5 linked regions of the Bombyx mori genome follow. The protein of the gene in region 2 interacts with the protein of the main gene of each other region in a pairwise test. Links are inferred from orthologs where the notes say so. Each region holds a gene or a part of one and is shown on either strand. Other genes may lie near its edges.

The links.
Region 1: the proteins of ubiquitin-conjugating enzyme E2 (region 2) and mothers against decapentaplegic homolog 4 interact in binary tests that used the Homo sapiens proteins (3 or more experiments, as listed by UniProt). The link is inferred for Bombyx mori from reciprocal best matches to the Homo sapiens genes UBE2I and SMAD4.
Region 3: the proteins of ubiquitin-conjugating enzyme E2 (region 2) and exosome complex component RRP45 interact in a two-hybrid assay, tested with the Homo sapiens proteins (2 studies listed by BioGRID and IntAct). The link is inferred for Bombyx mori from reciprocal best matches to the Homo sapiens genes UBE2I and EXOSC9.
Region 4: the proteins of ubiquitin-conjugating enzyme E2 (region 2) and double-stranded RNA-specific editase Adar interact in a two-hybrid assay, tested with the Homo sapiens proteins (2 studies listed by BioGRID and IntAct). The link is inferred for Bombyx mori from reciprocal best matches to the Homo sapiens genes UBE2I and ADARB1.
Region 5: the proteins of ubiquitin-conjugating enzyme E2 (region 2) and BmEts2 interact in a two-hybrid assay, tested with the Homo sapiens proteins (2 studies listed by BioGRID and IntAct, with this or other methods). The link is inferred for Bombyx mori from reciprocal best matches to the Homo sapiens genes UBE2I and ETV6.

The regions. Positions count from the first base shown.
Region 1 is NC_085113.1:9,078,807-9,084,836, reverse strand, and holds part of mothers against decapentaplegic homolog 4, read left to right. Parts: intron 1-41; coding exon 42-146; intron 147-859; coding exon 860-990; intron 991-1,504; coding exon 1,505-1,596; intron 1,597-2,043; coding exon 2,044-2,212; intron 2,213-2,908; coding exon 2,909-3,035; intron 3,036-3,966; coding exon 3,967-4,111; intron 4,112-4,865; coding exon 4,866-4,935; 3' UTR 4,936-6,030. UniProt on the Homo sapiens protein: In muscle physiology, plays a central role in the balance between atrophy and hypertrophy. When recruited by MSTN, promotes atrophy response via phosphorylated SMAD2/4.
Region 2 is NC_085114.1:7,030,355-7,036,126, reverse strand, and holds ubiquitin-conjugating enzyme E2, read right to left. Parts: upstream 3,117-5,772; 5' UTR 2,950-3,116; coding exon 2,884-2,949; intron 2,813-2,883; coding exon 2,729-2,812; intron 2,605-2,728; coding exon 2,342-2,604; intron 2,118-2,341; coding exon 2,051-2,117; 3' UTR 1,540-2,050; downstream 1-1,539. UniProt on the Homo sapiens protein: Accepts the ubiquitin-like proteins SUMO1, SUMO2, SUMO3, SUMO4 and SUMO1P1/SUMO5 from the UBLE1A-UBLE1B E1 complex and catalyzes their covalent attachment to other proteins with the help of an E3 ligase such as RANBP2, CBX4 and ZNF451.
Region 3 is NC_085119.1:13,152,003-13,156,919, reverse strand, and holds part of exosome complex component RRP45, read left to right. Parts: 5' UTR 1-188; intron 189-365; exon of another isoform or gene 366-417; intron 418-514; exon of another isoform or gene 515-605; intron 606-728; exon of another isoform or gene 729-959; intron 960-1,071; 5' UTR 1,072-1,122; coding exon 1,123-1,188; intron 1,189-1,259; coding exon 1,260-1,354; intron 1,355-2,018; coding exon 2,019-2,241; intron 2,242-2,979; coding exon 2,980-3,200; intron 3,201-3,396; coding exon 3,397-3,648; intron 3,649-4,841; coding exon 4,842-4,917. UniProt on the Homo sapiens protein: Non-catalytic component of the RNA exosome complex which has 3'->5' exoribonuclease activity and participates in a multitude of cellular RNA processing and degradation events.
Region 4 is NC_085130.1:18,134,603-18,141,268, reverse strand, and holds the start of double-stranded RNA-specific editase Adar, read left to right. Parts: upstream 1-2,085; 5' UTR 2,086-2,356; coding exon 2,357-2,387; intron 2,388-2,685; coding exon 2,686-2,702; intron 2,703-6,666. UniProt on the Homo sapiens protein: Catalyzes the hydrolytic deamination of adenosine to inosine in double-stranded RNA (dsRNA) referred to as A-to-I RNA editing.
Region 5 is NC_085119.1:10,451,344-10,457,985, reverse strand, and holds BmEts2 (ets DNA-binding protein pokkuri-like), read left to right. Parts: upstream 1-2,284; 5' UTR 2,285-2,324; intron 2,325-3,556; 5' UTR 3,557-3,565; coding exon 3,566-3,833; intron 3,834-4,016; coding exon 4,017-4,574; intron 4,575-4,652; coding exon 4,653-4,902; intron 4,903-4,983; coding exon 4,984-5,338; downstream 5,339-6,642. UniProt on the Homo sapiens protein: Transcriptional repressor; binds to the DNA sequence 5'-CCGGAAGT-3'. Plays a role in hematopoiesis and malignant transformation.

The sequences.
Region 1 (6,030 bases), on a different chromosome or scaffold from region 2:
GGTAGATGCTGTATATATATAACACGACGTTGCTGTAACAGGAACGTGGACGGGTAACAACACGCTGACGTACACGCAGAGCCTGGCCCCGCCCCCCGCCGCGCCGCCCCTGCCCCTCGACGCCCCCGCACATCACCACCACTACTGTAAGTGGCATTGACTGCTGAAACTGCGACACGAGTGGTAGAGGGTGTATTGTGAGCCTGCAACAGAAAGAAACATCATGATAATTTTTCCTTTGAAGCGGTCCTGCTTCCTGATTTGATGACCCGGACGCTGATATTAATACAAATGAGAACTGACCTTATGTCGTTAAGTAACTAGCTGCATAGAGTTTGAAATGTGTATGACTTCCAGTAAGATACTAAGACTCATTTGCGGCTAGATAATACAAGAAAAGACAACAAATCCGTTTAAAAAACAATTGCAACAATATATAACAATATCACATTGAACAGTCAAAAATTTAAATTTTTTTTTCATTGTAACATGACACGGTTACGTGTGAAAGATAAAAAAATACTCCCAGAGCCCCAAACAAGAAAAAAAAACTCAGTCCAATTGGGAATTCATACTGAGTCCATTGTTTGTGCACTCGGATATACAAACTTCTTGACCAACAGTCTAGACAGTTTAATATACATGTCATTAGATACTCGAGTTTTAAAATAAATAATGTAATAAATAATTCAAAAAGGAATTACGTTTTATTGGTTTTTGCATAAAATATTTTTAAACGATGCTTATTTGATATATACATTATTTAAATTACAAAATGTATATTTATAATGAACTGGAAAAGTATAAATTTTACTAATCTAACAGTGTTACCAATTTGTTGTATGATTTGTTTTTGCAGTCAATGGCAACCCCGGTGGCTTACTCTCAAGTCAACCAGCGCCCGAATACTGGTGCTCTGTTGCGTATTTTGAACTTGACACACAAGTAGGAGAAACATTCAAAGTACCTTCCAGTAGACCCAATGTTACTGTGAGTAGAAAATAATGTCTATTTATCATTGATATCAACAATATAGAAGGTGGTTTATCGGGGTCATTGGCTATGGTCCAATTTTGATCATTGGGCAAACACTGGTACACATTAGATAAACTTTGTACATTGTATGCAGATGAAAACAAGGTATGTACATGCACTCAAACTCTTAATGCCAAAAATTTTGGTCTCGAACTTGGATATCACAGACCAATACCCATCAAACTGATGAATGTATAAAATTATCATAATAAAGAATATCATTACAACTAACAGATTTGTGATTGCCTCTACAATGAGCAAAGCCTGTTGAGGTCCGTTGTCATATTATTATCTAAATGTCATATTTAATATTCATTGACATTTTACCCAACCTACATGCTAATAAATTTTCAGCAATTGTAAGATATGCACAGATACAAAACTCAACAATTTTATGACATTTATTTGATATTACTAGACATTCACATTTTGGAGTTTTAAGTTCGAATAATGTTTTTTTAATTTACAGGTGGACGGTTACGTTGATCCTTCAGGTGGGAACAGGTTCTGTTTAGGTGCTCTCAGTAATGTCCACAGAACGGAACAAAGTGAACGGGCAAGGTGATTTTCTTTTATATAGATAGACAAATGTATAAATGCAATAGAAAAATATATCCGATAAGTTATTAGTATTCATTACAGTTTTCTATATGTCGATTATTTAATATTTTATTTATATTTGGGTATACTCTGTGGCTGAATGTTATTGTTTTATTACTACAATCTCAGTAAATGACCACCATTTTACTGAGATTATATTTCATCCCATATCATTTTTCATAAAAATAAGGATATAAATTAAAATAAGACATGACCATGGTCTTAGTTACCAGGTCATAAATTTTCTTAAAAAAATAGTTCTACACTGCCGGTGACACCCATCCATGCGGACTTGCAATATAAGCTGTAGTTTAATTGTCTTTTTGGATTCTATAGACTATTTTCTGATCGACCTTACGACCTTTAAAAGACATTTTTTTTTTATTAAAATTAACACTCTGATTCCAGACTACACATAGGCAAAGGCGTTCAGTTAGATTTGCGCGGTGAGGGTGACGTGTGGCTTCGATGTTTGTCGGATCATTCGGTCTTCGTACAATCATATTATTTGGATCGGGAGGCTGGCAGAGCCCCTGGGGATGCTGTTCACAAGATATACCCATCGGCTTGTATAAAGGTAATTGAGAAATCTGGTTTTTGTAATGGCCTATTTGTACTGGAGTAAACATTGGCATGGAAAGGCGGCCAGGATAGGGTGACCATTTCTTAAAAAAAATAGACATTAAGTTAGGTGCCTAAAGGGGAACGAACTGTCAATAAAAAAGATGTGTGGTGGGGTGGGACACAGGATAGGAACGAATTTCCTTATTATAAAAATATTAATTTTAAGTTCTATTCGAGGTATAAAGAAAACAATTATTTGGGTATACTTCTTTTATTATGATATTTTTATTGATAAAAAAAAAACTACTTTACAAAGTTATCAACTTTATTTTATTCACAATGATTTATAAAAAATATATAATATTAATGTACAGAGAAACAGCTATTTATATGAATAATAATAATAACCGCCATCACGTAGACTATTATCATGTATTAGATACTGTATAGCTATCATACTAAGACTATACATAAATAATAAAAATCTTATGTTACAGAGGCTCTTTCCCGGTTAGGGTAAGGAACTTCGTTCCAAAAAAATGCACTATTTTTGTGTGCACTACTGTTTTAACTTCGCCATTATTGCTTTATTTTTAAAGTTAATTTTGTATGAAAATTTGCATAAAGATAATTTTGTAATCTTTGTATATGAGTAATACTAGATGTGACGCGTTTATTGTATAGTGTTTGTTACGTACAAACATTTCAGGTGTTCGACTTGAGGCAGTGCCACCGACAGATGCAGTCGCAGGCCGCCACCGCGCAGGCCGCCGCCGCCGCGCAGGCCGCCGCCGTCGCCGGACACATTCAGCCGCAACACCCCACCATGAATAAGTGTATGCAACGCCGCAATCATCATTAACTCGTGCTTCCTTCCGTGTTTACTGGTGGTAGGACCTCTTGTGAGTCCGTGCGGGTAGGTACCACCACCCTGCCTGTTTCTGCCGTGAAGCAGTAATGCGTTTCGGTTTGAAGGGTGGGGCAGCCGTTGTAACTATGTCTGAGACATTAGAACTTATATCTCAAGGTGGGTGGCGCATTTACGTTGTAGATGTCTATGGGCTCCAGTAACCATTTAACACCAGGTGGGCGGTGAGCTCCTCCACCCATCTTAGCAATAAAAAAAATCCATATACCATAACTCAGAACATCAACTTCATGTTTCGGAGTGACCTAAGAGCTTGAGTAACCGCTTAAGGTAAGGTAGACACTGACCTCATTTGGTTACCCGATAATAAAAAGCTAGCTATCAATATTCTTCAATCATACACTAGCAAAACTATACTTATTAAAAGAAGATTAATGTCTTAAGGTGGGCGACCTCGTTCGTCATGTGGTGTTTATTTTCTATCAGCCCACCGATGTCCACTGCTGGACATAGGCTTCCCCCAAGCCTCGCCACAAAGATCGGTGACCCTTGGAGAGCGCGTCGATGCCGTATCGAAAGCACTGTGTTGAAGCGCTTTTATGACAGCAATCTCAGTAAATTGTAGATCTGCAAGTTGCGTCCGGTTCAAGCGAGGGAGCTTACCCAAGAAACGATATACATACTCCAGAATGCGGAGTAGCTTGGACCAAGAAGACACTCGCTTGGCCAGCGTACAGAGAAAGGGTTAATTTTTCTAATTGTGCAATCACTTATGCTAATAACAACAAAAATTATACTGGCATTGTTCACCACATACCTAAATTTTGGCAAGGAAATAAAAAATCATCAATTTGAATTTGCTAATTATGGACATTATATATATTGATATCTTTTGACAGGTCTAACTGCGGCCGCCGGTATAGGAGTGGACGATTTGCGACGCCTGTGTATCGTGAGGCTCTCGTTTGTGAAGGGTTGGGGCCCTGATTACCCTCGAACCTCGATCAAGGAGACGCCTTGCTGGGTTGAAGTGCATTTACATAGGTAATTCTCAATAACGAACTATTCTCTTACTAATAATTCTTTAATCTGTTATATACAATCCAGTGACATTTTATGAACCATACATATACACGCTGATTAAATTTGTTTTTTTTAAGGGATTTTATGACCTGGTAACTAAGACCTTTAGGTCAAGTCTTATTTTAATTTTAATGATACGATATTTTTATATGAAAATGATATTATGAATGAAAATGAAATGAAGTTGATTATTATGAAACATGGCATGAAGTGAAATGAAAACGAAATGAAATGGCATGACATGAGATGATATGAGATGAAGTATAATCTCAGTAAAATGGTGGTCATTTACTGAGACTTTTTCAGTGGACTTTTTGGAAGATCCCGAAAAGTTACGTTCAGGGCTTTGTTTCATTTTCCCACATTTGTGCACTTTCACAGATACTAAACAGTTAATAAACCACCACTATTACACAATTAAATCTGAAGAAACACTAACTAGACAAAATAAAACAAATCACACAACTTCACTCCTCGTGTTCCCGCCAAAAAGTCCGATTAAATTTGTTGAAACAAAAGCTAACCTCAAAATCAAAGTCTACTCAAAAATGTATGTTAAAGGGCTTAAACTTCATGTTAGACAGAGAGGAAAATATATTAAATGATGACGTCATTGTGATGTGAAATAAATTGGACAACACTTGCTGTATGTGAAAGGGACAGATCCCTTATGAATGATGACAATGAGTGTTTATTTATTATGATGTTTCCACAGAGCACTTCAGCTCCTCGACGAGGTACTGCACACGATGCCCATCGACGGTCCCCGGTCGACCATCGAGTAGGAGTTGATCGGCTTCTTTTGAGGCCTTCGAGCGAATGTCGCGCAACTGTCGCGCGACTCAAATGTGCAAGTTTGTTTCCGGACGACTTTGTGTCGCGTTCACGTGTAAAGGAATATAAAGTGTTGGTGTTGTGAGATGTACAGTTTTGTGATCGTTGAAAACCGTTTAGTGTTGGTTTAATTTTGTTGCGTTTTTGTTTTTTTTGTGGTGTGTTACAACGGAAATTGTATGCATCGTAATGTGAAGATTTGTACGGTTTGAGTAAATCTCTTAAATTACCAAGTGCATACATACAGCGTGTTGCATAGCAATAGAAATGTCAATTAAACAGACGCAGAGGAACGTTGAAAAGATAAATGTGAGTAATACACCATTCTGATACAATAATAACAAGTTAGTTGCCATATTAATTGTTGTTGATTTATTTATTTTGTATTTTTTTATAATTCGTTTTCGGCTTTGTCTTCCAAAATTCGATTATTTTAATTGTTTGTCTTCCTTCAAATTTTATTTTTAAAATTATTATTTGGAAATGTTCGAAGTATCTGTTGGATCATGAAATGGTTGAAAGTATAAAGATTATATACATTAAAAGCTGACAGTTTAAAAATATATGAATATATATTTTTTTCCAATACTTTCGTTATTACTATGACACTAAAGTTCAAAATAAAAATAAAGGGCACAGCTTATATTAAAGAAAAGAGTTATATTGTTATCGAATACAAAACGGTGTAATTATTATGCATATAATGTAAGAAGGCTCTAGAATGTATTAAATGTTATGAAACAAACTTTGCACAGTAAAGTAGGGATTTATCGCTCGCGTTTATGTAAAAAAGGTGAACTTATATTTATGTCTTGTATTTATTTATACTAAGTAAACATTTTGGCTGTATTGATAAATAACATAGAAATCAGAGAATACAAGTATTGATGACCAAAAAATAAAGTAATTCGTGAATTTGGGCTCAATGGGGCTTTTGGTGGGTGGCGCATTTACATTGTACATGTCCGTGGGCTCCAGTAACCACTTAACACCAGGTGGGCTGTGAGGTCGTCCACCCATCTAAGCAATAAAAAAAGGAGTAATAA
Region 2 (5,772 bases):
TTACTCTCGCAATCAGATTAATCAGTAGTTGAAGAATTTGATGTACTCTCCTCTTGATGTCACTCTCCTCACGTACTTCAATAATAAATGATTCGACAACATCCTCCATTAAGCCATCCTTTTGCTAGTAATATTCCTCTAATACTAAGACATGGTTATTATGCTAGTGCTCGCCATTCCTTTCTCATCAAATTATATAGCTTGCAAACAACAATACTTATAAGTGTAAGACTATACTAAAAACACACGTAATTAACATTGCTATCGCAAAATTAAAAACAACGAGTCAGTAAGCGCACTCTCATGTTAAGGTCGACACTAGTAGTGGGAGAGTGCGGGGTATGAAGCGACGGTCGGGCGCGGTGCACGCCCGCCCGCTTCCTCAGCCCACGAATCCTCGGAGCTCGCGCGCGGACTGTAGGTATTTGACTGGTGGGCACTAGGCGAGCGTCAACCATAATTTTTTATGTATTTATTATAATTTGTCAGGCTCTATGTCGTCAGCTACGTATAGCTGGTCATTTTTTATAATTTTAAAGTCGTCATGGCCTGCGGGATAATACGACCGTATGCGGTACCAATTTTTCTGATGAAAAACTTATTTCAAAAATGTTCACGATTGGCTTCCTCGATGAAGAGGATTAACATCGTATAATAATATCAAACTCGCAAAAAATATAATTTGCGTAATTACTTGTGGATTGTGGGTAGGGCGTCTTGTGAGCCCTCACAGGTAGATACCACCACCCCGCCTAATTCTGCCGAGAAGCAATAATGCATTACGATTCAAAGGGTACTTTTTACGACAGTACTCATGTCTGAAAGTGGGTAGTAGCATTTACGATGTTCATGTCTATGGGCTCCGATGACCAATTAACACCAGGTAGGCTGCGAGTTCGTTGACCCACACTGTCTAGAAAACTGCATTTTAGTGCGCGGCGATATGTTGAGGGACCGTCGCATATTCGAAATTGCGGAAAAGGACTAATTGGTTGTTGATTTGAAAATGGGTTATTAAGTGTATAATCTATGGGGTGGGCGTCCCTTAAACTCGTATAACAAAATCAAGTCTTCGAACTCATATCTCTAAGTTAGTCCTGGCATTATTTGGCAAGTTCAATGGGTTCTAATAATAGAAAATACCATATTAAATAGTTTCAGTTATTACTTAAAACTAGTTGGGTCGTGATCGTATAGTTCGCCTGTCTCTCACCTTTTGTATTTTGAGGTGCCTATTCACTACTAGATGGAGGTTTTTGTAGCTAATTTTTAATTATATCTGTCATCAAACTAAATAATGATTGCGTTTAAGCTGGAATAAAACAAATATTTGTTTAACTCCCAACTTTAATGAATATCAGCATGTGAAATGAAATATCTGATGTCAACTAACCATTTTGATAAATAAATAAAGTTATGAATTATTTGTTTTCCAAATAGTTACTCTGAACGGCTGATTAGAAAGCGCTGACTTTGAATAGTGAATGATTGTGAAAATAATCTGAAAAAATTTTAACTTAAAAATACACAGTAAATTGTAGAATTTAAATATTTATTGTTCATTAAGTCTAACATAAGATACAAAAATATTTTAAAATAACATAGATTCGAAATGTAACCGTATATTTTGAGAATTACAGCAACATGTTTGTATATTCGGTTGTAATTAAAATCTTTGATGCTTTTTGCTTGTTAACATTTCTGTTATTAACTTAACAAATAAATAAATACAAGTTAGCCATAAAATGATGAATTCATAATGGCTTCAAAATTTTCCAGAATTAAAATAACTAACATTAGCATAGTGTTGATTTGGTCTGTTATTAAAAACTTGCATTTACTTCAAAATTACTTAAATCTATAGTTTAAACCATCACTGCGTACTGTGTGGATTAAATACTTTTGGAACTGGAAAATACCATGAAGATAATGTTATAGCACAATCTCCAAAATAGCGTAGTGTTGCTGTTTTAATCTCCTGTCTTCACATTTATACTGCTTTTTAGGCAATGGCTTAGCTCATTAACGCTCCATTGTCCCATTCTGATATTTACTCAGCAGCAGCCATTGCACGTGCCTGCGCTCTTACTCGCTTGTCATACTCTAGCCGATTTTGACTGTAACAATAAAATTTTATTTAATATTGAGGCATACAAGTTTTGTAGGTCACAGTAATTAAATATTAGTATCACAATATGTGGATAGTTTCGTGATATATTTTCAGTAATATAACAAATACATATATTACAAAAAAATTCAATTTTTACAAAATTAAACATTATAAAACATAACAGTTCTTTAAATGCAATACGGGTATTGAAAATGTTTATGTTTAACTTACCAATAAATTGTGTAGGCTTCAGCTTGCGCTGGATCTTTTACGTTAGGCTCATTGAGAAGATCTTGAATACCCAACAAAATTTGCTTTATTGTGATTGCTGGACGCCAATCTTTTTCTTCATCAAGCAGTGACAAGCACACCGTACCTGATGGATACACATTGGGGTGGAACAGTGGTGGTTCAAATTTGCATTTTGGAGGACTTGATGGATAATCATCTTTGAAGATCATACGTAGTTTATACAGCCCACCTTCCCATGGAGTCTAAAAAGAAAAACCGGTTATAGTTTTAGAACTTCTACTACCGTAATTTACTATGCTTAAACTCAATAACTTTAAAACTGCATCAATAAGAAACAAGAAGTTTTCACGATATAGAAATACTAACCCCCTTTTTACCAGGTATCGCACATTCCCAAGTCATTAAATTCAATGAACCATCTGGATTCTTCATAGGCCTCGCGACAAAACCCTGAAATAGATGAATAGCTTATTTATTTACGAAAACATAAATCAATGTGTTTTCAACAAACAAAAACTTACAAAGGGATGGTCCTTACGCCAAGCTTTCCGTTCTTCAGCTAAACGTGCACTTGCTATCCCTGACATTTTCTACAAAAATAACTCGATTTATGAGCCGAGCTTCAATCAAGGGCTATTCTTAATGTTGGGCGATAGATTTTACTTATAATCGAGCTAAAACTAGAACGAAATTACAATAAAAATAAATGAAAAAGCGCGAAATAGCGTCCCTTAATTTCAGAGCGGTCGACAAAATTGTAGTATAGACTACAGATAAAAAATGAAAATAATCGATTCACTTTTTTTTCTTTTCTGCTGTAGGAAGTTAATAGTGTTGCTGTTGACATTTAATATTAATTTAATTTTAGCAGTAAAAACGGGTCTTAATTACGACGATAGCCGAAATTCAGTCTAATTAAATGTTTCAAAAAAATTACACAAATATTTATGAGCTGTTTTTAAAATGCAATTAATCTCTCTTTTATCTTTTTTTGCAAATGAAGATACCACAATTAAAATTACTTTTGCGACTTAGGAATGACTCCGTGTTAACGAAAATTGTAAGACCAAAATAGGTATTGGACGAAATGGCTAAGGAAGCCGGACACAATGTAATGCGCCTTCCACCCTACTATTGTCAATGCAATGCCATAGAATCTATTTGGGCGCAAATTAAAGGTAAGGATTTAAATAAATGTATTTAATAATTTATTTTTACCTATTTTAATATTTTATCTGTTGCTATATTAACACGTAAACCTTTATTTTAGATTGCGGCTCGTAAAAATATCGACCCACTTAGGGCCGGATTTAGACTCCGCTCCTGGGCAAAAAATCCGCCCCAATACTGGAATTTTACCAAAAATTATAGTTTATAACTATTTTTTTCAAAATTAAATAAGTAATTTCTTGCAGAAACTTTATCATATGTTATATATTCCAAAAACATAAATAAATATTTGTTTTTTTTCTAACAATTATAAATTTTGCACTAAGGGTGACTCATAAATATTAAATGAAAAAAAAAATTAAATTTCTTTAAGTCCAGAAAATGGAAAAATCGATTATTATTTTAAATGTTCAAGGAAATAAATTGACTAAATAATTTTGATTATGAATTTTTACCTAAAGTGCCAAAATTATAATTCACAAATAATGGATGAATTCAATTTTTTGTATTATCAATTAAACAGAAAATGATTAATTAATAGAATTAATTTCAAAAATTTTACTTCCAAAATTTTGCCGCCCTAAAAAATTGCCGCACTGGGCACTTGCCCCGACTACGCGACTGCCCCTAGTGTAAATCCACCACTGAGCCCACCATTTACTGCAAACAAAATGCTGTCATTGTTGCAAAAAGCTTGTGATAGTGCTACTGCCGCGAATTAGGAAGGTTAGGTTTTACGAACAAAAAATTAGTTTTTCGCTGATTGGAACAGAGACACACATATCGATACCATCATAGATAACCAAATTATAATAAATACCTTGTGTTTTTATCGCCTGAATCCCACTCCCGACTAGGTATCCTTCTGTCGAGGGTGACATTCCGCCCCCGCCTTCACACTAGGACGCCTCTACTCGATGATATGCAGGCGAAGTAAAATGTCCCTTAGAAATAAGGTGACGCTCTACAAAACTTGCATACGCCCCGTCATGCAAGTGTAGTGTTCGCTCACGCGGCCCGCACTCGCTTAAAATCATTCCAAGTTATTCAATCCCGTTTTTGCGGGATACCCGTCGGAGCCCCGTGGTTCGTCAGGAACGTCGACCTCCATGACGACCTGGCCTTAGAGTCCATCAATAAGTATTTGCAGTCGGCGTCGATGCGCCACTTCGATAAAGCGGCACGACACGAGAACCCTCTCATCGTGGCCGCCGGTAACTACATTCCCGATCCTGCGGAAAGAATGGAAAGCAGTCGACGTCGCCCCAAACACGTCATTTCGGATTTTCCCGATCCACTAACGGTGCTTTTACTCAAGCACCGGTCACCGTTCTCGTCGAACCCGTCGCTTGCGACGAAGGGCTCGACGAGTAAATTAAACCTTAGATCAGCCCACTGAGTTTCTCGCCGGATCTTCTCAGTGGGTCGCGTTTCCGATCCGGCGGTAGATTCTGCGAAGCACGGCTCTTGCTAGGGTTCGTATTAGCAACGTCATCAGGCTTGAGCCCCATGAGCTCACCTACTAGCTAAGGCGACGCTGAAATAGCATCTCAAGGCTATCAGCTTAGGTAGGATAAAAAAAAACGCCTGTATAGAAATATCGATTTCGGCTATTGATGATGAATAAGTTCCATCTTGATAAAAATATCATGTAATATTATCTAACTAAATTTAAAAAACAAAGTTTTATTATTGGATGCTAATCCTTTTTCTGTCAATACGATTTTAATTTGTTCGTTAAAGTAATCGAAGATCAATATCGTCGAGTATCGAATAAAGCGGTATTTACTAGTATTTGATATCTGTTAAATGGGACTTCGTAATTGGAACTCCATGGACATACATACCTAGACTTTTTAGCTGGAACGCGAGGACTGAAGTTGTGTGATTTGTTTTATTTGGTCTATTTAGTGTTTCTTCGGGTTGAAATGTGTAATAATGGTGGTTTATTAACTGTTTAATATCTGTGAAAGTGCACAAATGTGGGAAAATAGAACAAAGTCGCTGGATGTAACTTCTCGGGATCCTCCAAAAAGTCCACTGAAAAAATCTCAATAAATGACCACCATTTTACTGAGATTACATTTCATTTAATTTCATCCCAGTTGATTAATGTCTCAAATTAATTATCTTCATTTCATTTCATTCACTCCATATTAACATTTTTCATAAAAATAAGAATTTCAATTAAAATAAGACATGACTTAAAGGTCTTAGTTACCAGGTCATAAAACCCCTTA
Region 3 (4,917 bases), on a different chromosome or scaffold from region 2:
GGATGGTTCAACGGAGAATGGTTAAGTGTTTTTTAGTAGGTATCATACCAAACTGACCTATGATCGTTAACTGGCGTTCCCTGGGTTGGTTGTGGGGCCGTGAGCTCGTTCACCTATCTACGCAAAAAAATGTAGTTTGCGTATTAATTGGGACATTAAGCTCACATCGAATATGTAAGAGAGCACTGGTAAGTAAAATAATTATATTATTTATTTTAGCAGTAAAACATTAATGGGGTTTGGTGGTTTGAAAGATGTTTATAGAATACAATTTGAATTTCGAGCTCTGCCCATATCCCAGGTGTTGTTATTCATATCTTAGCTTGTGCCTATATAGTTTGTGTTTGTGTCAGCCGCTTACGTACCTGCCTATCTGTTCACCTGTGCCCCAGATATTACTTGAGCTCCTGTGCTACTCTAGAGTTCGAACAAAATGTAATTTTTATCAATCATAGAATTAAAATTTTTAATATATACATTTTAAGTATTATTATATAATATTTATAATATTTACATTTGTCCGAGCCGTAGCACAGTACGGATCTCTCCGGAACGTTGTTACGCTCCTCGTGAAATATACGCAGTTCTCGTGAAGTTTTAAGTATTAATTAAGATCTGAGGTCGAGACTTATCTAGGTTGGATTAACCAGGAGCCGAAGAGCGCATGATCAGAATTGTATCATTTTCACAGTTCGATGTCGCTTCAAATTTAGTATCTGTTAACGTACCTATATAAAAAGTGAAACAAAATCTGTGGACGTGACTTTTCGAGGTCTTCCAAAAAGGTTTTGGAAGTACCTAGTACATTTCTATATGTAGCAAACGCCACCAGTTGCTGTAGAGTAATTCCATAATCCACAATAATTCCTTTGAAGTTTCAATAAATTTTCACAATATGACAGGTCATTTTAATTTAATCACAGCTAATTTAAATTAAACAGTTAAAGGTGTGACTTTCATTTGGTTTAGTTCTTTAGGCTATATTCCCTTTGCCTGTTTAATTGAACAAGTGGAATTAAAAAAAAAGTTTAACAGATAACCTAAGAAAAATAATCACACATTTATTGCTAGGTATGCCTCTTTAAACAGAATATTCACAAAAAAATATGAACCAATAACAAAATGCGTGATACTTGTTTATCGAATTGTGAAAAGAATTTCATACAAAAGATCGTATCTCAAGGACATGTAAGTTGAAACTAATAGAATATAACCTAAGACTCTTCTACAAAAGTAATTTGGAAATAAATTGATTACAGCGCTTGGACGGTCGAAATTTTAATGAAACCCGAAAACTAGATATATCATTTGGTTCTGAATATGGTTGCTGTATTGTGTCTTTGGGAGAAACGAAGTAAGTTGGAACTGAATCACTAACAAATTGTAAATAAACAAAGTAAATGAAGCAGTATATACTGTTATTTTTGTATTTAAACAGCGTTTATTGGATAGATAGAACAATTGAAGGATATAGAGAAACAAATTCAGTAGACCTGTCTTGTATTCTTAGATTGATTTATTTTGTTATTAATTTAACCACATCTTGAAAATGTTAAAATGATATTATGTAAATAAACTTGAATGAAAAGTAAAAAATCGTTAACATAAAAGAATACTATCACAGAATATTGGATAGAAATTTTGCAATACAATTAACTGACTTCATGTCTTAAAGTGAGTGTCTTTGTGATCTGTGAACCAGCACAGCAACAAGGAAATGCTCCATTGCTCATTAATTAACAGTTTTCAGATATGATGAATAAGAGAATAACACCTAAACTTTAAATGAATTTGTCCTAAAATTGCTAAAGCCTTATGAGCTACTTACTTATTTATGAACTTGACCTAAAGGGTAATATTAAGCTATCAATATTAAATGACTACTATCTTAAAATTACATTGGTGTGGGATCCCTAGTGCCCAATGAGATCTGTAGAATATGAAAAATTGTTTTCATTGGTGGCATTCACTGGAGTTGGGGGACATGGGTAACTAAAAAGTAAATTACTCAATTTCAGGATCCTATCAGAAGTCACATGTGAAGTCGCTCAGCCAAAACAAATAAGACCAAATGAAGGCATCATATTTATTAATGTTGAACTTAATCCTATGGCCGCTCCACAGTTTGAAGCCAATAGACAAACAGATCTCACTGTTTATCTTGTAAGATTATTAGAAAAATGTTACAAAGATTCAAAATGCATAGACCTGGAATCACTCTGCATTGTAGTAGAAGAAAAGGTAAATTTAAAAAAATCTTACCTTAATAGATCTAGATGTAAGCAATTCTGTATGCCATATGGACAGAATTATTTCACACTATGATGTTTTCCTGTTTTGTAATTATTTCCACTATTAATTTAAAATATTTCTAAAGTATTTATTTCCAAACTCTAGATAACATTTGTAGTAACTTTTAAATATCTGAAGATAGGCTGCAATGTAGGCAGTGGGTGTGGTGTCTTCCGTCTAGCCTATTTCTGACCAAAGTGCTTCTACAATGCTTCTGTTTTAAAATGAGCCCTCAATCTCATGTCTCATGGTGAGTGGTGCCATTCACATTATTTCTATGGAGTGGGGTAAGTATTTTATATGTTAGGCCAGGGATTCTGGTTGTGAAATCATAAATTAACTCAATTTTGGAGGTTGATGAGCTCTAAAAACCGACCCTCTACTAATTAAAACAACTTCTTCTTTGGATGTTAGTATTTTGTATCAATAGAAAAAAACTACAAGGCTTTTTAAAGTTATTCAGAGGGTCTGAGTTATCAGTTCATTTTGGAAAAAAGGGTTATCTTGCCAAAAATAGTTTTTGTGTAGCTTCATGCTATAATAAATGGAATCAGAAACTACTACTTACTATTCTTACATATATAACAGTTTTTATAAATTATCAAAGTAGTTTACAAACTAAGTTTTAACAAATATGTAATTACATTATTGACCGCAGTAAACAAAAATTTTATGTTTAAATTTCAGGTTTGGTCTTTAAGAATTAATATTAAAGTTCTAAACCATGATGGTAACTTAACTGAATGTGCAAGTATAGCTACACTTGCCTCAATAGCACACTTTAGGAGACCTGACTTTACAAGAGATGGTGACCGAGTGATTATTCACACATTAACTGAGAAAGACCCAATACCAACAGTTTTGTATCATTATCCTGTGTGTACAACTTTTGCATTGTACAGTAATGAGTAAGTTTTGAGAAATTACAAATGTTCTTTTGTATTGATTAATTAGAAGGCTCGAATAAGATGTAGAATTGCTGTCTGCTGAACCATGCCAATCAAAAAGAATGACTACTTTTTAGCAACACATGTTTAATCTGACTTAGAAGATTAAAACATTGTGTGAGCTAGATATTAAAGCTTACATTTTTATTTATTTCAGTATCTTACTCACCGATCCTAATTTCCTGGAAGAATCAGTGTGTACAAGTAATACAGAGGAAGGCATCAACACTGCAGGAGGCCTCCTGGTTTTGGGAATGAATCAATATAGAGAAGTATGTTTACTTGATTTGACAGGAGCTGCAATATACACATCTAATATAGTTCATAAAGCGCTTCTGAGTGCTGCAGACAAATGTAAAAAATATGTGGAAATTATAAAAAATGCCGTTGCCAAGGATGACAACTTGAGGTGATTCATTTAATTATTTATGTATTTTTTGTAAGAGGGGAAATACGGTTTATTATTATAAAATTTGGTTAAATTGTCCTCCAAGTGTTTACTGAGGAAATTACCCGATCTTGTGTACCGAATGGTAAACAGTCGACGTCGCCCTAAACACGTCATTTCGGTTTTTGAGGTATCTTAAGCACCGCACCATTCACCGCCCTCGCCTGAACTCGTAGCTTGCAACGAAGGGCTCGGGGAGTAAATTAACCCACAGATACTACTGCACTGAGATTCTCACTGGATCTTCTCAGTGGGTGGCGTTTCCGATCTGGTGGTAGATTCTGCGAAGCACTGCTCTTGCCAGGGCCAGTGTTTGCAACTCCGGTTTGAGCCCCGCGAGCTCACCTACATGCTAGGGTAATGCTGATATAGCCTCTCAAGGCTAACGGCATAGATAGAAAAAAAACCCAGGAAAGCAGGTTTAAAGCCAATTTGGTCCCTATACCTTACTAGATCCATAGTCCTCGTACACTATGAGTTATTACTTGTGCTTCGGTAACTAGTTATCATTAGCTAATCCATGATCATAAATCAATATATGGTTATTCAAAAATATAATACTTTTTTTTTGTGTTCATTTTATTTAATTTACTGTCCCTAGTCTGTAATTAAGGTTAATGTGAGTATAGCCACATGAAATGAAATGTCAAAGCATGTTAAAGCATTATTTATGAAGCAGAAACAAGGAATAAAATTTTTGTTTCGATAGAAAAATGTTATACATGAGTCGTCTATTATCAAAGGTGGCAATCTGTGCATTTGGACAATTTTTTTTTATTGATATGTCAATTCAGATTGATTTGAATATAATCGTCTCCTTCAAAGAATACGGTTCAAAACCTGCATTAAATAAAGGTTAATAGTTAACCTGTTATTTATCTAAGATGTCGTTCCAAAGAGTTTTGTGACTGCCAATGGAATACAAAGTCAATAATTCGTTTTTCTGATTTACCAATCATTGTCCAAAAGTCAGATTGCCGGCTTTGATAATAGACGACTCACATAACAACAATGTGTAATAAAACAAAACAAAGAAATAATTTATAAATATTCCCTTAAATATCATTGAATTTAGCATAGGTGATTTCTATTACAAACTGAAGTATATATTGCACTATAAAATATATTTTTATAAATTAATACTACTTTTTTAGGCAAAAACGTGAAAAAATAAACTTTTCAGATATTATTACGACAGAACATATGCTTGCTTTAAGTAGAAAGGATCTT
Region 4 (6,666 bases), on a different chromosome or scaffold from region 2:
GTATCGGTGCACAGTTCAATGGTGTACCGTTTCAAGGAATATCTCTAGATTCCATGTGGTGACTTGCTTGATAGATAACCCTGGAGGCAGTGTACTTTATATTCTGTTTCATAAAAATGTTACTTCAATTGTTTTTAAGACAGATGTAATGTTTGAGACGCTAAAAAATGTTTCATGTGATATTTATGTAATTAATACCAAAGATTAAATTATCAACTTTTTTATTAGTTTTATTTTCTGTTTTGCTATTGATAGTACTTATATACGAAGGTCGTCCACCATCTCCTATATACATCAGCAATTCCAGAAGCAAGATAACACTCTTGCTTATCCGTCGGACTCTTAATCAAACCTCTTTTAAATAATATACAGAAATTTCATAGCACTCTGAACGTGGGGCCCTAAAGAGTTTAGAAATGAGTTGATTTTTATAAACTTAATAGTGAAATAAATGTAATGTTCTACATATGCACATTTTATTTTAATTTAGGACCCAAGGTAAAACTGCTATATTGGCATGATAGTGTAGTTACGTTAGGTAAAATAGATCGTGTGGCGCCGCGTGTTGTAGTGTTGACCGCGGGAACCCCCCTACTCTGACCGGGTTTTGACCCCGGATGGAGATCGGACGTCGGGTGTAAGAGTGCAGGGGAGTTGTTTAGTGGGTGGGCACTAAAGTTCCTTGGGCCTGTCTGCTCTCAACACCTGCAGATCGTTGAGTCTCACCTACCCCGCGCGGCACCTAGGCGCGGGGACCTCATAGGAGGTACGGCCCTAGGCTCGAAAAAAAATAATGTAAAATACGATCTATTTTACTTTTTTTTTTTGGCGCAGGACCGATTAGAGTGCGGAGGCTTCAATCTCAGCGGTCCTTGCTGGAGGCGTAGTCTACTGAACCCGTCCGCCGGTCTTCGGACAGTGGAGGCGGTGCACCCAGTCCTCGCGAACTGGTTAAACGGCGACCGAAGGTTTCTCACCTTCCGCTTGACAAAAGTGCTCATCGGTCAGTGGTGTTCCGGCCGGTACCTGCACCGCGTCGCCCTGAGAGAACCAACGATGGAGTGCCTCTACTGTGGCTACAACAATCGAGCACACACGCACTGCCCCGCGTGGCTGGGGCAGTGCCGTATCCTCGTTTCGCAAATAAAACCAGACTTATCGCAGCAGACGATCATAGCTACGATACACGGCACCGGCGAGTCCTGAAAAGCGATGCTCGGCTTCTGCGAGTCCACTATCTCGCAGAAGGAAGCACCGGAACGACAGAGGAAGAGCTCTCCGCACCAGTTCGTTGCCGCCGAGCCAGGGCCTCGAGAAGGCAATTCGCCCGGCTCCGGCCCCGCTAGGAGGCAACCCCGTTCTTTCCGTGAAGGACTTCAGGGGTTAAGACCGCATGGTCTGCTACATGCACTCTTCTAGCGCGCCGCATGACAGCAATTCTACGGTTCTATGGAAGTGCTGCGGAAGATCAAGCGATTTACGGTGTATGGTCTTCCGACCCAGCAGGTTGGTTCAGGTCCAGCAGGGTGTGTCGGCGGCCTGCAGGACTGCCTTATCGAGACGACCGATGTAGAGTCGTCGACTAGCGCCTGGACGGTCCGTCGGTCGGACTCCCTACTTTTCAGTGTGGCAATTGGCTTCTGGCTGTACAGTTTGCTGTGGAGGCTATTTTTGAAAAAATATTATTTTTTTATAAAAAGTAGAAAACCGGAGCGGAATTAGGTGAACTTGGTTTATTTTAAATCGTAATAATTCAGGGTGAAATTAAATAGAATAGAATGAAATGAGACGAAATGAAAGAAATAATTTCTCAATAAAATGACACACTTATGCGCTTTTACAGATGTAAAACTTTTAATAAATTACCTTTATAATTTTATTAAACTTGAAGTTATGCAAAATTAACAACATTAAACTATTTACACAACTGTGACTATAATATATTATATTCCCGCCAAAAAGCTGCGAAATTCCTCTAACCTGACTGTCGTCGTAATGTAGGTAGGTCGGAAATTCTATGATCCAAAACTATCTTTTTAAATATTCGTTCTGCCGTTTTATAGCAATTAATTTATAATAACAAATACAAAAATGTATTTAATCTTTTAAAAATCGGTAAAATATTTTATTAGAAAATAAACGGACTATATAAAATAAGTTTCTGAACGAAAGTAAACATTGATTTTTTTGAATTTTCAAAATGATTTGTTTACATACATACAAAATCGAAAATCGGGTTTTTAATAAATTTTAATTGAGACATAACATAACTATTGTTTATTTCGACAACAAAGTACAAAATTATGTAATACTTATTACAATAGAACGCTTAAAGAGTCCAGATAATTCCAGAATAATGTATAAGCCAATAGATTTCACGAGCAACGGTAAGTTTTTTTATATAAAGATAACTTAAAAAATATTAAATTAAATTAGTGAGAATCATATTAATATTTCGTTTGTTGGGTTTGTCAGAATTTCTTAAGTTAAAAGGCATAACCTCTACTTTTTCCTTTTTATGAATACAATATGCAATTCGATTAAATATGTTCTCAATTTTCAATAACAATTCCATTATATTCCTAGAAGTATGTACCTGTAAAAGTTATTACACGATGAGTTGTTGAAATTAAAATAATGTTTTATATTCGAGCACTAATGATCAATGCAAAATTAAATTTTCAGATGTATTTGATGTTTGGGTAAGTTTTTAAATTAAAAAAAAACAAGTTAAGCCAAAGAACCAAAGACGTAATATCCACGTTTTTATATTTCTCAATATATAATGGTTATCATATCAGATCCTACTAAAATGAAATTTGATTATATTTATTTTGATTACAAACTAAAAAAATTTATTTTTTATTTTTCAAACACAAGTATTTTCATTTGCTATATTGTTTGTCCATGTTTCTGTTAATATTTACTCTTAATGTAAATTCTATCAATGAATCATAAATAACTAAAGTATTTAAAATTGATGATGACGTATGAGTTTGCAAGAAAATCTGTATAATGCAATTTGGTGTACTCCTCATTTATGGACATATCACCTTTTATCATAGTCAGCTTGGTCCACCAGATTTTAAGTAACTCTTTACTACTAAAGCTACTAGTACCATAAAAATGTTAACTGCTCGAATGAACGAGGTAAATCAAAGTAAATCGTTGAAGCTTTGAACTGAAAACAATAGAAGAAAATGCTGTGCGAACTTAGTCGGATATAATAAGTAATTATGAGTTTACTACGGCTTGCTACTACTCAAGGATTTCAGTTGCCATCTTCTACAGTGAGAATATTTTGTAGGTAATTTAGATTAAAAAAAAAAACTGAATTTGTTACACAAAAACATGAACCTGTCAAATAATAACAATAATAAACATTTTTTTCCGAGCATAAATTACAAAAATTAAAGCAACAAAAAATAAATATACATATAAATGGAAAAGATTACTACCGGCTGGGATATGCATAAGAGCAGCTACTCAATTACTAATGCAGTGCCGAGCGTCCGCCGGCAGCACCGGAGTGACATGCCTATCAACATCAGACCGAACGACCATTTATTGCAGTATATCAATAGTTTTCTTGCTTCAAATATCTATAATTATTGTATCAATGCTCAACGGAATAAAAAAAACTACTGATAAGCCTCCTATGACTTAGTAGATACATTCCGACAAGTTTGGGGTTGTGCATAACCAATAATCATATGAGAGAGACTAGAAGCCAGTACAAAAAGGAGGGTAATTTTTCTGAATGAAATATCTCAACTATGCCTGTATGTATTTTGTTTACCTATCTTTATATATCGTCCTTTCGCATTAAATGTGTACAATTTCCAAAAATATTCGAAATTGAGTTAATATGCGGAATCATTTGGCATCACCAGTATTTTTCTCATAAATACTGTCAAAAGAGCGTAGTTTAGTTATTTTTTATTTATTTTTAGTTTACCTATATTTAGACTACCATTAACAAAATTAATACATAATTTTATGTTACTTTAAAAGGCAGATAATGTAACTGTTAAAAAATAAATGTTGCAAAGATGATTAATATTAAAAATATCACATGTTAAACCTTTAAAACACTCTCCTGTAAAATTTGTAAGTTTTGAGATTTGAGATACAGTTGGCTATGACCTTCACGAGAGATGGAAAGTCATCGATCATGTGGCCAGGGGACAACCCTTTAAAATCTAAAAGAAGCTAAGTTTGTGAGGATAGCCCACGTCATTACGGATCCTCCCGATCCATTAACGGTGCTTTTAAGTACCACAAGCACCGTTCACCGTTCCCGTCGAACCCGTCGCTTGCAACGAAGGGCTCGACGAGTGAATTAACCCATAGACACTGCCCACTGAGTTTCTCACCGGATTTTCTCAGTGGGTTGGGTTTCCGATCCGGTGGTAGATTCTGCGAAGCACTGCTCTTGCTACACTCCCGGTTAAAGCCCCGTGAGCACACCTACACGTCAAGCAGAAGCTGAAGTAGCCTCTCAAGGCTGTCAGCATAGGTAGGAAAAAAAGATGATAGTTGTTAATTCAAAAACTATGAATACATTTCTTCGATCAATAATACTACTAGATTCGCGATTAGCGCTTCAAAAGCGGCCCGAAAAATAAGACCACAAATAAATTTGTGGTCTTATTTCAAATTAGTATGGTCCAATCATAGCCAACACTAAGACGTCAAAACGCTGCAATGCGCGTTCAAAAACTGAGTAAAAAACCACCGTAACACCAAGGTTTTGGAAGGAATATCTTTTTTTGGTAAATTTATATTATTAAGTGTTTTTCATAAAATAATAAACACAATTATATTGTAAATAAAACACAATTTACGAATATTGTAATTGTTTGGCCAATGTTTGCAACAAGGCACCAACTATTGTAACAAACATCACCTATTCTTGGACAGGGAATGCATAGAGTAGTTTTGTTATTTTATAATGTTATTTTTGTTTGTAGATTTCCTAGTAGCCCCTTGTCGCTGTGCACAATGGATATATATTGTCGCGAAAGAAAGAGGAGAAGAAATATAGAACTCTTATAAAAATTCTAGAATTGTTCAATGGTGGTGGCAAATCAATGCAAAAAAGTATTAAAAAAACTTTATATGTATGTGTAAATATTTTAAGCGTATATGCTGAAAAGGATTTGTTTTCTGGGGGAAACGAACACAGCCATAAAATAAGCCTAAATTAAACTGATTATAGAAAAATTCATTGATATAAGATTACATTATATTTGTAAAAAAGAAACCGCTCATATAAAAATGACTTCTAAAAGACAGCTTTATAACAAACTGAATCTGTTTAAAGTTAATTAAACCTACATTATTGTTTTAATTACTTCTGTATAAAGAATACGTGGAAAACATGTTTCGTGTTTCCTTTCATATTTTTTTTACTTTATTCAATTTTATTTTTTATCACCTATTTGTTGTAATAGCGGCAATGTAAAATATTATCTACTACTTTTTTGAATCGGTCAAAAATAGTTGCGACCATACAAAACAAACCTAAAACAAATATGTATATTCTGCAACTCTATGTCTTTCAATACTTACTGTGTTCTGAGCATTGAAATGTAATACCAAGAACTACATCTAGTTTCACAATACAATAAGCACGAAATTTTAAACAAATATTTTTAACCTTATAAATTAGGCTTTAAGTATCATTTTAGAATAAATATTTTTGTACTGATGACTTTTTATGTTCAAGTGACATTTTAAATTTATTCCATAATATTCTTTTTCTGACGAAAGGACCTAAATACATATATTTTGCAATGGTAATTAAACTTTATGTTTAAGTATTAAGGTTTATAATAAACTGAAGTCGTTAACATTATTAAACTTTTTTCTAAGAAATGAAGATGTTTTCGTGTCTGCAAACGTGGCCACGGGAGCGTCTTATTTTTGTTCCTGATCCGTAATCTAGTACTATTATTGATCGAAGATACATTTTGACGAAACTTCACAAATGTTTATTCCTGTCAAATGCCTGTTTAACAGGCTATAATGTAGTATGATAGTTGTTCGATAGATGGCGCGCGAATAGTTTTACCAAATCGATGTTTATCACACAATCGGTGATGGTTGGTGATGGATGCTGGACAGTGACTGGGTTATACTGGTGTCAGGATGAGCTTCCTTCGGTCGCTAAGTCCATTTCACTTGTATCTTGATTCTCCCACTAATCCCTATAAGCAGCAGGACATTGTGAGCGGGCGCATAAATGTACTACAACAGAGTTGAACCAGAACAACTTGGCGTTGCTGTGGAGCGGGAGCTAGGTGTCTTGGGCGTGACGTGGGAGGAGCTAGAACAGACTGCCCAAGACCGATGTAAATGGAAGGATTTGATTCGAGCCCTACACCCCAGCAGAGAGTAATAGGAAAGAATGATGATGATGAACAGAGTTCTTTTAGGCCAATTTTATCCAAAGTTGATCTAGGCAAAATCAGTTTTTATAATATTTTAATTAAATATAAAATTGGCCAACACATCCCTAAAAGTGAACAAAAGTAACAAATGCACAACCCTAATCACTGTTCCTAGTGCATACCTACTTATTTATGGCTATTACTATTATTAATGAATTATTTTAATTAAATATCATTATGAAACCCAATTATCGAAATCATTCACGATGTA
Region 5 (6,642 bases), on a different chromosome or scaffold from region 2:
TTTGAACTGTTCTTCAAACGGTTTTGATCTTTCACTCTGACTTTCCCAAAAAGGTTTAGAATCGCTTGATTAGAATTAGTTTCTTAGGTTTACGCTTTAATAGCGCATTTTCGAATAATTTAGTTTTCGTAATCACGGACAACTGATTAAAAAATGTTGATTAGAAGTATGTACTTAGTTGGTGTACTGGGGCCATTATTGGATAGCCCGCCTTCCGAAATTACGAATACTAATTAGTTGACTCCACTTTTTATTAAAAATATATGAGTTATTTAATTCTAATTAATATACTTATATTCACTTTACTTATTATTAACATAATTATTATATTATTATGGCAGAAAAGGATGCACATAATGTATCATGACGTCATTTAGCCTTTAGCTACGAACATTCGAGATAGCGAGATATTTCCCCTACGCACCCACTCTTTCTTGTGCCCATTTTTAAAACGTTATTTGCTATTTTTTCGACTAATTTCGTTAAAACAAAAAAGTATTCATTTAATATGATTTAAGTATTGTTACGTAAATACTAATGTTCGCAAATATAGGAAACTTCTCTATACAGACGCGGACGTCCGGCCGGCGTGCTTCCGGCAATCGTCAGCAGCATATTTCGTACGATCTGCAGAGTTATGTCATGTACAAAGTTTATGTCCACTGTACCATCCTTGCACGCACTCGAAAGATTTTGATAGAAACCGCGTATCAAATGGAGTGTGATAATAATCCGCTTGCTTGTCTGCCAGTTTAATTAAGTGTACGTTAACGTACCCACATTATGTACTTCCGAAAATTAGGTTTAGCTTGAACAATATTTAGGGAAATAGTTCCTATCCAAAAATCGATAATATTTAACCTAAACGTGTATGTAACCACAAATAAATTGATGTCCGCGGTCACGGTCAAACAACATTGGTCGTCTTTATTCTTTAAATTACTGCACATAACTCCACGAAGACCGTCTGCGTGCCGCCGTAGCAGTAATACGCGCTAATGCGCCAGAGCGAGACGAAAGCACTAGGGAGCGAGACGCGGGCGAAGGGAGCAACAGGTAAAGATTCCGAGGCCACTTCCGTCTTGGCTGCCGAATATTTCTGTCTCGAACCGGTAGTGGGACGACAGCCAGGGCACACATAATCTCAACCCACACACACTATACACATACAGGCATATGAGTAATTTCTACACTTTCGTCTGCTCTAGCCTTTAGCAAAACCTATGTATTGAAAAAAGATAAACTTACAACACAGTTGCATACAGAATATTATATACATTCTTACGTAATTATATCAAATATGGGCTATTCGTTCTTATGTTATAGTTCTATGATACATAATTCACATGATTTCAATTTTTGACAACCACCAGAACTTGTAAATTAAAAACAATCAGTATTGCTTTGTTACCAAAGAGTGACTGTAAAATATTGTGAGCTCAGTTCAAACCGGTTAGCATTCGTATTGTCTTACTCAGAACCAGGAAACTGTCGACCGAGACATTTCCTGTGCTTTGTCGAATGAATATTTTCCAAGACGCCGTTTACTGATATGTAAAAACATAGAAAAAAATGAGTTTTAATTGTTTATTCATTTAGATAGTAACAAGTCCGAAAACCTAATGTAAATTAATATCTAATTGAAAAACAAGTCCGGTGCCCGCAACGCTTTACAATGTCACATAGGTATACACAAGGAAATATTGAGAGTTATTAAAAACTGGTGTGCTGACGTAATTCTAATATGTACTAGTATTTCTGCGTGCCTTATACTAACAAATAAAACACAAAGAATGTATCTTCTTTTTACACGGATCTATACAAAATATTATTATTCTACTGCCGTATTTGATAATTATAATTTCTTGTAAAACGACTGATTTTAGAGCATCACTCGGCGCCAAGTCCGATAACGAGTTGCGGAAACATTGCTCGTATGTTTAGTTAAAATGGGACTTGGTCTAGCTACCAAAGTTTTATCTCAGCATGTGAGGTGGCGCGGAGTGATGAGGTATGCGGGGGGAACGGCAGCCGTGCATCCGTCCGCCCGCGCCGCCCTCAGCCGCCGCATCATCAGTCCGCGTCGAAGAGCCGTTCGAAACGCTCGCTTGCGAGTTCGTTCCCTCAGATACGCTGCTGGTTTACGGCGTGCCGTAACACGACACGTTTGGAGGGATCACCGCCGTTACGCGTGTGTCTGGTGCTCTGTGTACACTGAATTCTGTGCTAACTTTTGTGATGATAATGTACGTGTACTGAGTTGTCCAGTTTCTGTTTTCAACAAGGATTTTGACAACGCAACCAGTTCCGGATCAGCTTAGCCGGTGAGTAGCGGTGCTTATCGCAAACTGTGCTATCGTGGACTCACGCATTTCCGACCGCGCCCGATAAGGCGACTGTATAGTGCCTAATAATATGGAATTCGAATCCGGTCAAGATCTTCAATATTGTGAACGTATTTCAAATATCGCAATGAATTGTCAACCCTCCGCTGTTTTATGTAATCTGCGATAAAATAAACAAAATAGGCTTTTTCACACTCTGTGAACTTTTTAAGTTAGTGAATCGACAAAAACTGTACAGAAAACTGCTTTCACATGAATGGTCCAACGGATAAAGCTCGATTGAAAGAGGGTGTCGTCTCGTCGCATACCTACCTACAACCCTAAACAATACTAAAGCAGCAGGTGGCTGTACTTCATTCATAGTTGACACGGGATATTGTTCTTTAAATTGTCATATCAAATCATGTTTTTGTCATATACTTTTCCCTCATCGAAGTTTCAAGTTTAATTTGATTATACTTATAGCTCGATGTTTGTTTTAGTAAATAGTCTTATAAAGGCTATTTATTCGTAATAATACTTCAACTGCTTTACTGACGGGTTATCTCATAAAGATAACTTTTGTAACTTCTTATTTACAATCTTTAAATAATTATGTGTTTATCATTTTTTTTAAAAAACGTTAGTCACGTCAACCTTAGAATAATATTAAGCGAATACCGAGAAATAAGCTTAGACTTTTTTTGATTGATTACTTGGGAGTGATTTGAAATGCTTTTGTCCGTGACATAGACGTGTCAAGACAGGTAAAAAAAACATGATTTTTCCTTAAAATTGCCACAGGCGATACTAGTGAGTTTAAAAAAATGTGCCAATAGCTAATAATTTCATTTAATTTAAATACCCAATAAAATAAAAAAATACAAACCTACCACCTAGTACCATTGTTGACAGTATCGGTGTAACCACAATATTTTAAAATAATAATGTTTCGATAATATTAAAATGTCAACTAAAAATGACGCATAATTTATAACGTTATTTAATCGTAAAAACAAAATACAACACTACAGATGCAACACAAAGAATAAATGAACCTGTTCGTCTATTGGTTAAATTAATCAAACATTATTATTTTATAATCTAACAATTATTTCTAGTAACAGCGACATCTGTGATCAAATAGCGAACATTAAAACGAACTCTTGAAAATCATAATAATATACAGAATACTAACACAAAGTCAATCCTAATGTGAAAATTTGTTTCAGATTAACGTAATGAAAGTTGTAAGCTTACAACTGCCGTCTGGGCCCAGTATGGAGCGGCTACCGCTACCATTCAGTCCAACAGAACTATTATGGCGTTACCCACTACCCTGGGCGCCACCGCCTCCTTCACCGCTTGGTGACACCAAGGCGCAACTGCCAGCCGGTCTTCCGCCAGAACCAAGACTATGGACCAGAGAGGATGTTTCTGTATTTCTGAAATGGTGTGAAAGAGAATTCGATCTACCTAATTTTGATATGGACCTCTTTCAAATGAACGGTATGCATCATGCTTGCTTATGATAACTTTATTTACCTGCATAATATGCAATTCTAAAATAAGTCGATTTCTTGCTTTAATGTTAAGCTAAATAATGACAACCAACAAACGCACTTACTTATATTATGAAACTTTGAATGAAAAATTTGGTTATTTCATTACATTTTTTTTCTTTGTTGACAGGTAAAGCATTATGCTTGCTTACTAAAACAGATTTGGGTGAAAGGTGTCCTGGAGCAGGCGATGTCTTACATAATGTTCTTCAAATGCTTGTACGCGACGCAGCGCTGTTAGGTAGAGTTCCTTCCTCACCTGTTACTCCCACCGCTCGTGCGGCACCGTATCCGCCCTCTCCCCACTCTCATCCACCGACACCAACTTGGACTGTTGATGGTTTCCACCATTTCCACAGCGCTGCAGCAGCAGCAGCAGCTCAACCTAATTCAGTGACTCTCAGTCCTGCTCCATCAGTTGATAGTTCTGGAAGTCCTCAAAGAGGAGACACTGTAACTTATGCGCCAGCGTATGCACCGTCCGTGCCCCCCACTACTCAAGCTGCCAGTTCCGGAAGTAATCATTCAGATTCCGATGAAGAGGGTCAATACGCTCCACCTCCACGTTCTCCTAAAGAAGCTCCAATAACGAGTCCAGCCCCGCAAAATCATCCAACACAACAACATCCTCATTACCGCGCTCAACATAGGGAATTTTTTCCAAATGATATGCCAGAGTCCAATACAAGTACGTATAAATAAAAATTTGTTTCAAAATAAACATAAAACCTTCATCAATATTTATGTATACTTTGTTTTCTTGTAGATGGAAGACTATTGTGGGACTTCTTACAACAACTTCTGAATGACCCAACGCAAAGATACACAAACTATATTGCATGGAAGAACAGAGACACTGGCGTGTTTAAAATTGTTGATCCTGCTGGACTAGCCAAATTGTGGGGAATTCAAAAAAATCACCTATCCATGAACTACGACAAAATGTCCCGCGCCCTGAGATATTATTACCGTGTTAATATTTTGCGCAAAGTCCAGGGCGAAAGACACTGTTACCAGTAAGTACCAGTATTCCAAATGCCAGTATTAAAAATCTTGCAAGAAAATAAGAACTAACCAAAAACATTCTTAATTTACAGGTTCTTAAGAAACCCAACAGAATTGAAAAATATCAAAAACATATCTCTACTGCGACAACAAATGAGTCCCACTCGCGTTGTACCACAAACTTTGGTAAAAACCGAAATGAAAGAAGAAAGATGTGACGAAGAAACAGTCGATGAAGAAATGCCTACAGATTTGAGTATGTCTGCATCAGAGCCTTGGCGGAAACGCGCACGCTCTGACACAGCGACCGCACCGCCGTCGTCAACGCAACATGACAAACATCGGATCAGTACGCTTATCGGAGATAACATGATAATGAAACGCGAAGTCGACTACAGTGCTGAGCATTATGCCTTAAATTTAAAAAGTGAAAAATGTGAACAGTAATCTTATTGAGATAGACTAAGGACACAACTAAAGTGTGACAAAGTTCAATAATAATTGTGGAACCAATTTGTTACATTAACTCGTCTTTTTCCACATAGACAAGATTTAGTCTTCCGGAAGAAAAAAATATCGACGATAACTGCGAACAGTTCGTCGTAGTGTGTTAATACAGTTAACAGGGTACGGACCTTTAAACAATGCCTTTGTGCCAAGTGATTTATTATGCATAAAAGTGTCAATTAACTAACTAGTAAAAGAAATGAGAGATTATTTTATATCGAAGTCATAGGAACTATATTTTAAGATTGTGCAATGTATTAAAACGCCATTTCAAGACCCGCAGTTTTTAAAAATGTCGCTGAAATCAATGTTGGTACTTGTGCATTGCACGCATTGCATTTGTGTAATTTTAATATTATTTTCAAGTATAATTCGCAAACAGAATTCTAGTTGATTTGATTAAAAGAGCTGAAAATATTAGTCATATATGTCTTCCATTGATTCTTGGCAAATAATTTCAAATTTATTATTATTTTACATACTTTCCGCCACAACTACCACATCACAAAAAGGCAGCTTTATCATGAACAGCTTTTAAATTCTAAATACAGTCTATTCAACAGACAATAACGTGAGTTATTTTAATAAGATGCCTTCGAATCAATAATTAAAAACAAGCACTGTGATAAACGAAGTGGTAGACAAATTAGAATATGCTAGGGCTTTTATTCAAAGATTTCCAGCTACATTTTCTGTGATCTCTTTTATCAATGTAGATAAATTTCATAGATTAAAGTAAAGTTGTTTTGTAAATAGTAGGATAAGTATTAATTAAGATACTATTAAGAAATTGACTGTAAAAAGTGTGTTGTACGATTTGTAAAACAAAGTGGAGCTTTATTAAAGTACCTAGTAGTTAAGAAATAGGTTCTATGACAACAGTGTTTGTATTTTTACAGTTTATATTCGGCTTTGTAGCCACATCTTCCATTGTACACAATATAAACCTGAATAATCAGTAAAAATATATTGTGTCAAATTTATTATAAAGTAAATAAAAATAATGTTATCTCAAAAATTCCATTTTATTTTACGTTTCTAGATTTATTGAACTCAAATACTTACATAATTAAAACTACTTATTTTACTTTATTATTTTCATCATATTCTTTCTAACATATCGAAAGCTTTACAATTTGCAAGTTTTTTTTTTATTGCTTAGATGGGTGGACGAGCTCACAGCCCACCTGGTGTTAAGTGGTTACTGGAGCCCATAGACATCGAGGTGCGACGTAAATGCGCCA